Drosophila melanogaster: one gene and its partners. The protein of the gene in region 2 interacts with the protein of the main gene of each other region in a pairwise test. Each region holds a gene or a part of one and is shown on either strand. Other genes may lie near its edges. The genes, in order: CG11286, Lip3 and pie.

The links.
Region 1: the proteins of Lip3 (region 2) and CG11286 interact in a two-hybrid assay, tested with the Drosophila melanogaster proteins (one large-scale study listed by BioGRID).
Region 3: the proteins of Lip3 (region 2) and pie interact in a two-hybrid assay, tested with the Drosophila melanogaster proteins (one large-scale study listed by BioGRID).

Annotation. Positions count from the first base shown.
Region 1 is NT_033777.3:7,770,266-7,773,819, forward strand, and holds CG11286 (uncharacterized protein), read right to left. Parts: upstream 1,492-3,554; 5' UTR 1,436-1,491; coding exon 1,128-1,435; coding exon of another isoform or gene 1,127-1,127; exon of another isoform or gene 1,069-1,126; coding exon 946-1,068; intron 887-945; coding exon 742-886; 3' UTR 595-741; downstream 1-594.
Region 2 is NT_033777.3:13,370,002-13,373,758, forward strand, and holds Lip3 (lipase 3), read right to left. Parts: upstream 1,904-3,757; 5' UTR 1,746-1,903; coding exon 1,662-1,745; intron 1,508-1,661; coding exon 788-1,507; intron 711-787; coding exon 330-710; 3' UTR 276-329; downstream 1-275. Other genes in the region: CheA87a (chemosensory protein A 87a), read left to right, coding at 1-275; CG34309 (uncharacterized protein), read left to right, coding at 2,663-2,757, 2,867-3,077.
Region 3 is NT_033779.5:10,421,060-10,424,816, forward strand, and holds the start of pie (pineapple eye), read right to left. Parts: upstream 1,722-3,757; 5' UTR 1,585-1,721; coding exon 1,471-1,584; intron 1,404-1,470; coding exon 1-1,403. Other genes in the region: Wdfy2 (WD repeat and FYVE domain containing 2), read left to right, coding at 2,461-2,621, 2,692-3,039, 3,312-3,424, 3,485-3,611, 3,675-3,757. UniProt on the Drosophila melanogaster protein: Required for survival of imaginal disk cells possibly by regulation of cell apoptosis. Required for germline stem cell self-renewal through mediation of BMP signaling.

The DNA of each region.
Region 1 (3,554 bases), 5.6 Mb from region 2:
AACTCAGCCAAGGGCATAACTGAATTAAAGAGCAAATTCACATGGCGTTTCTGGTCATTGTTCACTGCGTAAACATTTGTAAATTTGCTCTTTTTCAGGTGTATACACGGTGCAAACAAAACTCGACTGAACGGCTAAAAAATGGTCATAAAATAGCATTTGACAAATGACGCACTTCCTGTCAACGCACACAATCACAAACGCATACAATCACACACGCACACATTTATCCCTTATCGGTAACTTGTAAAAAGAGGTCGAAACAATTGCATTGCTTTTAAACATGAATCTGCTCACATAGTTACACAGTTTAACAATATAATAATTCATTGTTTGAATTTATTTATGAGCGCAGCTCAAATATTTAATATGCACAAACGGCAGTTTGTTTAAATGTAATTTAGTGGAATAATTAAACAAATGCGGATTTTATTCAAAACTATTTAGTTGCTGTCCGATTGACTAACCTTTTTGTAAACGAGATCCTATTAAAATTTAACAAGTAATCATAAAATACATTTTCTTACAGTTCTTACGCCAGCCATCCAATTTGTTAGCTCACTAACTTTGCAGCGAAATTATAAAAAAGGCTTTAATTGCATAATTAAATTTATTGGCTGTACAATTTTCCATAAGGTAATTTTATCAGTTTTGCAGAGAATAATTGCAAAATTAAATGAGCTAATTAAACCATTTCCAAGTGGAATAAAAAGGCTCATTTACTTTGCAATTGGATCAGTTTTAGCAACCCAGACTTAAATCCGTTTTCAACAGATACTCGACGCGACGTTTTTCCTTAGGAGGCAGTTGAAAGAATTTTGAGACAAAGTTATTCAGTTCCCTCTTTGTATGCAGTGGGGGCCACATTGTTTTATAGCACAGGATTCTAGAAAAGCCACGAAAGTCCCGGTTAATTTATGTTATCATTTCTAACTTTTAGCTTACTTCTTCAGGAAAAACTGGTCGCAGATATTGCGTTGATTGGCAATAATGTGCTCCATTTCGTGAAGGAACTGCCTATCATATTTCGCTTTGGAGTCCAGATACCGCACATAGCAATTAAGATCGCTGGAAATAATGGTGTGTCAGGAAACCTAAGTAACTCAGCAAGTTCTTTCTTAACTGACTACTGAAAGTGCTTTATATCGTAGCTGGGATGCAAACTGGCATCGGCCTCGTCGTGGAACTTGATCCTTGGCTCATACCACTCGTCGAGCTCCTGGAGACGATGGAACTCATATCGGGAAGCAAGTCCTGACAAGGAAACCAACGAAGTGGTCTTCGTCCTAGTCAGGAATTCCTCCACTTTCTTAGCCTTCTCCTGGGCCTTGGCCACAAACTTCGCGTTGAGGCGGTGAACTGGTACATTTTTACCCCGCAGGACATCTCCCGCTGAGGGGATCGACTTAATGGTTACAAGGCTCGTCGCGGACATGTTGAAAATTTGATACTGCTCTTGGGAAACTGGAGATTTTTGAGATATATTAAATGGCTTATTTATGCGGTGACTACTTTGATTCGACAATTAACGCTTTAATAAATACGCCACATAGTTGTCACCGTCAACAACATCTGAGTCCTTGGGGAATTATTGTTTTAAGCCGCTGGTGTTTATAAATATACATGGAAACAGCCGAGAACATCATGAGGATTCATCAGACGATATATGGAAAGGGGTCAGGCTGCTGTATTTTATTTACACGGCCATTCACATTGGCATTTCAAAAATCATTCATTAATTTTTTAATTCAACAATCAGGCTGGTTCAAAGTGGCGTGGAATAAAAACCAAAAAAGGAATCTCTGTAATAATATCACATGCAATTATTGCAGGCAATATGCATGCAATTATGCTAAAGGATATCCATTGTAAAAAAAACTTTGCAAGTGAGCCCGAAATAGAGTTGCGAACTCGAAAGTTCTCAATGCGATTGGATAGCCTTTGTAATTATGATGTCCCTAAAAAAATGAAAAACTAACAGGGCCCTGTTCGAACTTTCATTGACTTATTTGTACCCTTAATAATGGTCCCTCCTAATAATCTATGAGGAGTAGTGCGACTGCTAATCTACCCACATTTGCACCCATTATCCAGGTGTGGTCGAAAATTATTCTCAAAAAGATTCCACACATTTTCGCGCCATTAAACATGCATTCGCGCATTTAATTTCATTTTTTGAACCGCCCGAGTTGACGGAACAGAGCCATCAGCCGGACCACAAGAGTGGCCCACTGAAGGGGGAATAGGAGCTGCCGCCGACAGGAGAGTTGGCCAATGTTTGCACAGCAAAAACATGGCCCAAAACGCTGGGTCTATTAAGAGCACATTTGACCAAAGTCGGGGCTCCGGCACGTGTGCAATGAAAACAAACGAGCCCATTATTGTTACACTTTTCTTTGGCAACCGGCCGCAGAGACCATTAATGATGTGTTATGGCCTCAAGAGGCCGGCCTAGCCGATCCTTGAACTTTGGCCAGGCAGAGCCTGTGAATTGAACTCTAATTGCAGATAATGAATTGCTCGCATTAGGTCAACGAACAGTCGTCCGGATTGCCGCAAAGTGCCTAATGGAAATGCAATGAACTATTTATGGGCATAAGTAGCCAGCAATTGGCTGACTGAAGTTTGATCACGCACTGGGATTATTAATGCCGAGACAGGTCGACTTCCCTTTAAAGTGCTCATCTCATCAATTTGTGGATGTTTTCCCTTGGCCTTTTGGCCAACCGTCATTTTGGTCGCCACAAAATTGACAGCAGCTTTCCCACAGCGCGTAATGACAAAACAGTGACTAAAATGTTAACAACAAATCCAATTTATTTCACCGACCGGCCTACGAGGGACATTAATTACCAGATGGATCACGTATAAGGTATTAAATGCAAACTCAATCTGCCAATGGGGAAATGGCCAAATAACAGAGTGGTTGGTCAAATCTGGGCACACAAACTAACACAATCTGCTACTAATTCCCACAAACTGCATTTAAAGATAGCGGATTTCATTTAATAGAATGTGTTCACCGCCATTGATAATATTAATATAAATATAAATATAAACGTCATTCAGAAAAAGCGTTAAACAATAAACAATAAACATTGACAATGGTCGATGGTCAACGAGAGTGTAAACAACAAGATTTACTGCCATATGCTAGGGGATTACGGGTGTAATTGTACGCCACTTCGAAATGACATTGAACCAGACATGAAAATTGATTTTGGGCCTGATGCCGAGTCCATTACGGAAATAAGTTTGCTGAGCACTCGGACCATATTTTCAAAAACATTTGTTTATTGGGCAATTATTTTACTGGGTTGCCGGCGGACTTCGCCCCGGCAGAATGAAACAATTTCACTTATGCACAAGTATTTCATATTGTCACAAATTCATTTTCATTTCAAGCCCTCGCTCCAGTGTCCCCAAAATTCAGCAATCCAGACATAATCTCTGTCAAGCCCACACACATTTTTGCACAGATGTTTGAGCAACTCAACTGAGACTTTAGAGACTTTGCTGCTTCCTTCATTGTTAGTGGGTCCATGGTCAAGTTT
Region 2 (3,757 bases):
AGAAGGTTTTGACATTCGAAATGCAGCTTTGCGACTTTATGAAGAGCTACTACAAGGATATCTTTTACGAACGGATCAAGGAATACTCGAATGCCCCGCATCCCAGCAGCTGTCCTCTGCCCAAGGAACGCTATGTACTAGAGGACTATCCCTTCAATGTCAAGTTGCTCAAAAAGCTGATGAGTCCGGGCTTCTATCGCATAAAGTATACCCTCAAGAATGAAGAGACTAAAATATTATCGTACGTTCTGGATTTGGAGTTGGAGGAGAACTAATCAATCTCGAAATTTGCTAGCTCAAATGCTCCGTTTATTGCCTGAAAAATAAATCTATTCGTAGGATTGCATCTGCTTCAAGACCTCGTCGTAGACGTATTTTCTGGCCTCAGTGCCCCAAATGAAATCCAGATGGGCCCACTTCTCGAACGGCACCAGGTAGTCCAGCGCCATGTTGGGCAGTTCGTCTCTCAACTTGCGGACATCGCTCACATCGCACATCCAGTCATTGGCTCCGTAGTACAATAGAACCGGGGCCTTGGCATTCTTTAGCTTGTAATCCGGAGGGAAGTAGCTGCCGTACTCATAGGGATTACGGAGAGCGGTGTAGTCGAATTTACGGAACTTTCCAGAGTTATATTCCTGACAAAAGTGCAAGTTCTGGTTCACCGATGCGCCAGCCGGAGACGTGGCCTTGATGTGCTCAAGGAGTTCCTGACCAAATGGAGAGCAGCATTATAAGTTACATGGAAATATAATTTATAGGACCAAGTTCATTTCCAGATACTTACGTAGTCCAGCTGTTCGGTATCATAGCCTCCAATCAGGAAGATCTCGTTGGCGCACATGTCGGCATAAGGAGAAGTGGCCTGGCACATCTCTATGCCCAAATCCTGCTTGAACTTATTGCTGGGCATGAACTCCATGGATCCGCAGACCTCCACGATGGCATTGGGCTGGCCCAAAATGGGTGCAAAGGCGCGGGTCAAGGGGCTCTTCATGTTGCCCATATAGGCGGCTGGTCCCAGAAGATGGGCGGACTTGATCTTGTCATTGTACTCGGGTCTCTCCGACACCATCACCAGATAGACAGTGGTACCCTGGGAGTGGCCCACATATTGCACCTGCTGCTGTCCAGTCTTTGCCAAGACATAATCAATCATCGCCGGAACGTCGTACATGCCGATCTCGTTCCAGCTGAAGTTCCAGAAGATCTGCCAGTAAGTGGGCCAGTACTTGTGCGCCTTGGAGTAGGTGTTGCCTCGGGCATTGCCCATCCACACATCGTAGCCGGCATCGGCCAGCATATAGGCCAGGGATCGCTCTGGACCCATGAGCACCCAATCGGAGGAAGAACTCAGCATGCCGTGCATGAGGAAGGCCACCGGTCGGTTGGAAGATTCACCCGTTTTGGGGGAATACGGGATGCGGTGCATAGTCAGGATGTAGTTGTCACTGGTGACCACCTCGTGGCGCTCCATCGGGTAGCCATCGTCTTCAATGCGCTCACCCTACAAAACAATTAAATGTATGCTTATTTTTAATTAATTTTAATTTGTAAATAAAAAGCAATTAAATGGTTTCACTCTGTCAAAAGAAAAACCAAATAATAAATAACAAATATGTAATATTAAATTGTTTTCAAACTCTTAAATTTTTACTTACGCAATCAGAAATAGGCCGAGATCCGGCCAAAACCAGGCCCAATCCGACCAGTAAAATGGTCACTTTTAACGCTCCTCTTGTCATCGCAGTACTATGATCCGTGTGGTTCGGGATCACAGCTTTTATAGCCCCTTGACCACTATCTATCCATTGATAGTCACAAACAATCAGATTTATTGGCAAACGCGTACGAAGACCCCCAAGAAATCAGTTAAATATATATGAGAGTTAGATACACCTGGCCTAATCAGCTTCTTGTTTAGATTGAAATCGCGGGTCTCAAATTTACAATCTAAAGAAACCCAAACACCCCGCCAAAACGACGGATTTTCTTATCGATTTTCAATTATTTTGGTACCCCTTACTTTAAAAAGTCAAGCATATAAAATTTCCATTTATTTCAAGACATTTGCCTTTTAAGAGACCTTTTATTATATCACCAATGGAAATTTATAAAAAAAAAAAATTATACTAAAACATTAATAACAATAGGCTACCCTTAAATTCGGGCACATTAAAAATTGAGAAGAGGGTATTCTGCAGCTCGATCTTTTTAATAAGGCATATAATTTTTATTATTATTTGCAAATACGTAATTCGTTGAAGATAATTGTTAAATATAGAAAATCCGATTGCAAATGAAAACAATAAAATGCCTGAATCACGCCAGCAACATGTTGCTAGTGTCGTCGGCAACATGCAGCACTTATGCAGCAGCAACATGTGCGCACATTAATCCTTATGCGGCCCAGTTAGCACTTTAGCCCGACTTTGTAGCCTGGTCATCAAAATCAGGGCTTGTGTGATATCGATTTATAGAGGCCACACATGATTGGTCTGCCGATGGTGTATAATACACGTATCTCCCGAGCCGGCTGCCCCTGACGACGTGACCATAACATTGGCATTCTTGGCCCGAAGGCATATTACCATATCGCACTTATGACAGTTCAAGCCATAATTCAGTCTAGAGTGGAGCTCATTTTCAAAGGATTTCCAAAATGAAACACCAACAAGTTACGGTGGACTATTGGACCATGTTTAAGACATCGGGATTGTGTCTTTTACTGGCCATTTGCGGATTTGTACTTCTTAAGTAAGGACATTTACTAAACTATTCAATACTCAATACTTAATGCGCAATGTACAAATTTGTAATGTGATCATAATACCTGGCACCTTATAGTACCAATTATTTCTTATAGAATGGTGCAGACCATTTTCTGGCTACCTGGACATCTGAAGAAGAACCAGCAGCGCCTGGAGGATCTGGCCAAAATCTATGCCAAGGATATTAGCGAGGAAGAGAGGGACGAGATCGAGAAACTGTTCAACAGTAAGGAGCCGCTGACTGAAGAACGAATCAACCAGTTGCTCGACAAGCCAGAGACTTCAGAGCCAAAAAAGGAGCAATAGTTAAATAAATTGATTCGCATGTTTTATATATATATATATATATTTATGTATATTGAGTGTATAATCGATAATTTGTTGATACAGGTTCTAGTTCTTACTTGCATATCGTATATGTAACTCGCAACACAATCAATCGTTTAACCAATCCATCAATAATGCCTGTAACGCTCAATTATTCAGGGAGGGGGACAACAAATAGAATAATAACTATTCACGAAAGTCGCTCGTCTGTGGAGCGGTTACAAGTTATATCCATATTAGCTACTGATATAGGCGGACTCAGAGCCCTTTCCTGCTTCAAATCGGTCGTTTCTGGTGGCCCATCGATTTTGCCAGCGACCTCGACATCTCAACCTCGGAATGTATCTAACTAACAAACTCATATCAAATATAAGCAAGTGCGCCAATTCGTATGCATATCGACATATGGACATATGGACATATACATATAGATAGTCTATATTAATTTTAAAAGCTCAAAGGGGCGCAAGTCTCTCTCATCAGTTGTGTCTTTAGTTTTTTTGATTTGGTTTGGTGATACCTGCATCTGCCGCCGACTCCACCTGACCACAAAATATCACTTGAGTATCTTTTGCTATATTACACGTAGGCTAATCCGTAAACGAAGGTGAAAGGTGCCAATCGATCGGATGAACTTAATTAGGTCGAGTTGGATCGAA
Region 3 (3,757 bases), on a different chromosome or scaffold from region 2:
AATGGTTCGCCAGGGCATTGAAAGCCCGATTTTAGCACAAGTAAAGTATTTGGATCCTCTTTCGGCAGTGACGGTGAGTTGGGAGCTTTCGCCACAGCTTGTTCCTGCGGCTGTGGACAATCGAAAGTTTGTGATACTAGCTGCGTTGAGAAGCTGGCTTCTGGCTGCGGTGAGTGTGGAATCGTGTTTAATGCTGTTTGCTGCGTTAATTCAGGGTTTACGTTTATTGCTGTTGTCTGCGGTAAGTCGGGGATCTCACTTGCTGCTGTTGGCTGCGGTGAGTCGGGGATCTCACTTGCTGCTATTGGCTGTGGTGAGTCGGATGTGTCCCTTCTTGCTATTGGCTGCGGCGAGTGGTTCTCATCGATGGACGTCTTTGGCGACGCCTCTGGCGAATCAGGAATTTCCACTATCATCTCCTCCTGTGGCGGCGATAAGGATAACCTCTCGCTTGTTGCGTTAGATTTCGGTTGGCTGAATATAACCGTGATATTACTACTTCGTTCGCTTTCGTCTTCTTCGGAGAAAACAGGAGTCTGGGTTAAGGATCGAGTTGCAGCATCGGGTCCCAATTTTTGCACATAAAAAGAGCCATCCACCTGGTTGTCGCCGTCAGCATTGGTTTCTTCTGTTGTGCGAGCCGGTCCTTCAGCAATCCTCCTCTCCACGTCCAGGCACATAGAGCACTTGAAATCTGTACGCTCGCGCTTCTTCGGCAGTCGCAGGGCGCCCACCAAGCATTTAAGATGAGCCGAAGTGGCGGCACAAGAACTGCAGCATAGTATCACCCACGATAATCTATTATAAGTTCTACCACTGGGGCACAGGCAGTTGGGCTGGTCGCATTTCAGATTGCGCTCGTGGAGCTCCCTATAGGCGTTCCGTTGCTTCTCCCACGTGGCATCGCGATCGGGCACGAATACCGACTGCAGGCGTATGGAATCCCTGAAACGTTCCGAACGACACCAAATGCAACGCAAGTAATATCCGGAGGTCAGAGCGTACTGACGCATGCATTTCTTATGGGCGAATCCGAGGCGGCAGCAGTCACCGTACACAACGCAATGCAGCTCTACCTTATAGATGGAACTGAAGCAGATGGGGCAAGTGGCGTTCCTCGGCGGATTCGACTGCAGCTGTCGCTTGTAGTCATCCATCGGCCTGCATTTGTAGCAGTAGCTTTTGTATTGGCCGCAGAACTCGAAAACGGCGCGATTCTCCAGGCCGCACTTCAGGTGAAACAATGACCGGCAACGATCGCATTGCAAACTGGCCCCAATCTTATTGCAGTACCAACATTTCCTCTTCTCCGCGGCGGCTGCCTCCTCGCGGATATCGCGAAGCAGAAATCCCAGGATTCCACTGCTATCTCCGCCGCGCTGCGGCAAATGCGTTGAGAGTAGCTGGTGGATTGGATCAGGAAGTTTACATTAGCGGGAGTTCTCTTCATTTCACAACAATCGCACTTACCAGGCAAAAATAGTGCACCTGCAAATTGCGTACAATCATCCATTCGCCAAAGACCAGGTCGTCAGTGTCCGAATATTTGCATATTAAGCATTGCAGCTCCTTGTTATCTTCCATTTGTAAGCTGGCCGCTCAGACTAGTTTTGCTGGACAGATCAACTCGTTTGAGTGCTATTATGAATAATTTTTAAAACTATCAACATGTTTTGCATTCCTTTTTTACTCTATTGGCGGGCAAGGATTTTGAAAAACAATAAATACAACAGCGCCTTATTATACTTCAATTCCACCAAGCACATTTTTGGAAAAGCTCTGTTTCCACTGAGCAACACTCACAATGATCTAATCTGCTTAACTAGCTATATTTTGCGTTAACCCTACTTATAATAAAATTATTTATTTATGTGTAATAATAAATTTTAACGTATTAAAAACTTAACACAATATAAACAAATATTTTGTGATTAATAATTAAATAGCATGATAACCGGAAACATAACTGTGCGTGGTCCGTAGGTTTTATTAGATATGATATGCCATTATGAAAATCATAAGACTATACATTTATAAAGCGATTTCTGAGATTCAAGATTCAAATGCTCGTTTGTATGTTTATAAAATGTGGTGCGTGCATATGCATACATAATGCTGCGACACATCACACGAAATACCTTCAGTATTTTTAATAGCAAAATAATATACAATAATACGCAAAAACTATATCTAACAATTAAGATTCTATTTTCATTTCATCGATTCCACTATTCCGCAGCATTCCTAAACTTGGCGTCGCTATCTAGACGAGCTTTCCAACAACAAAGTTCAGTATATTTAATGTTAAACAAAATAACACAGTTTTGTTAATTGATTGTGAATCACGTATCTCCATTCACCTTCCCCAGTCCGAGAATCGGATTGTTTATAACCGCATTATCATCGAGTGCGTTAAATAGGGCGTAGGCGTACCATCGGACTGGATCCACCTTAAATAATATGGCTGCCGAGATAAAACCAGCTCAGCGGACCAACAATGATCGCTTTAACACCTCCAAAAAGCCGGAATTGCTGAGTAAGCTGGAGGGCAGCAGCGACGATGTGAACGCAGCGATCCTAATTCCGGGCGAAAACGGCGTAATTAGCGTTTCCGATGACAAGTGCGTAGCTGTAGCCCATTAAAAATATACACAAATGGTATGCCTGACATTTTCATGTTTTCCCCAATAGAACCGTTCGCGTTTGGCTAAAACGCGATTCTGGTCAATATTGGCCTAGCATTTGCCAGTATATGCCTTCCGGCTGCACGGCCATCGAGTACGTTTCGGAATCCCGGCACCTGTACGTCGGCCAGGAAAACGGAACGGTCACCCAGTACGCGCTATCCGAAGACTGCAATCGCCTGTCCTTCCTGCGGGATTACTTGTCCCATCAAGCGCGGGTCATGGCCGTGGTCTTCTCGAAAACCCACAAGTGGATACTCTCCGCCGGCAAAGATAAGCAGTTCGCCTATCATTGCACGGAGAGCGGCAAACGGGTGGGCGGATACAACTTTGAGACACCATGCACGGCTCTCCAGTAAGTATGATAAATGGATGGTGAAAGGGGGAAGGGGGTGCGACAGTGGATATGGGATAAGCGGGTCATTTAATTGGATTAAACTGCTTTCTTTGACACGGCAATAAACTGCAATTCTTCACGGCTATGGAATTCATTTAGAATTTGAGAACCTTCTATTGTTAATGACGTGTCAACTGAGTCATTTTATCTACACAAAATTTTGGCATAAATGTGTGCACTGTGCGAAATATTCTATAAGCAACATATAATTAATTATAATCTGCGTTTAGGTTCGACGCTTTGGCCAAGTATGCCTTTGTGGGCGATCATGCTGGACAGATAACAATGCTAAGGTGCGATGTTCAGGGAGTGCAACTAATTACCACTTTCAATGGACATTCGGGTAAACAAGTTACAAATGATATTTAGTAAGCTAATTATATACGAATTGGTTAATTTTTAGCGGAAATCCGGTGCCTCAAATGGGTGGAAGGCCCTCAGCTCTTGTTTAGCGGAGCTTGCGATCAGTCCGTGCTAGTTTGGGATGTTGGTGGCAAACGTGGCACCATTTACGAGCTGCAGGGACATAGGTATCTCCAATCTTAAATAATATTCATAAAATAAGATAGTAATCGGCACTTCTGATTATGTAGCAACAAAGTTTCCGCCCTGTCGTACGCGAATCACACGCAACAACTGATAAGCTGTGGCGAAGATTCAGTAGTGGTTTTTTGGG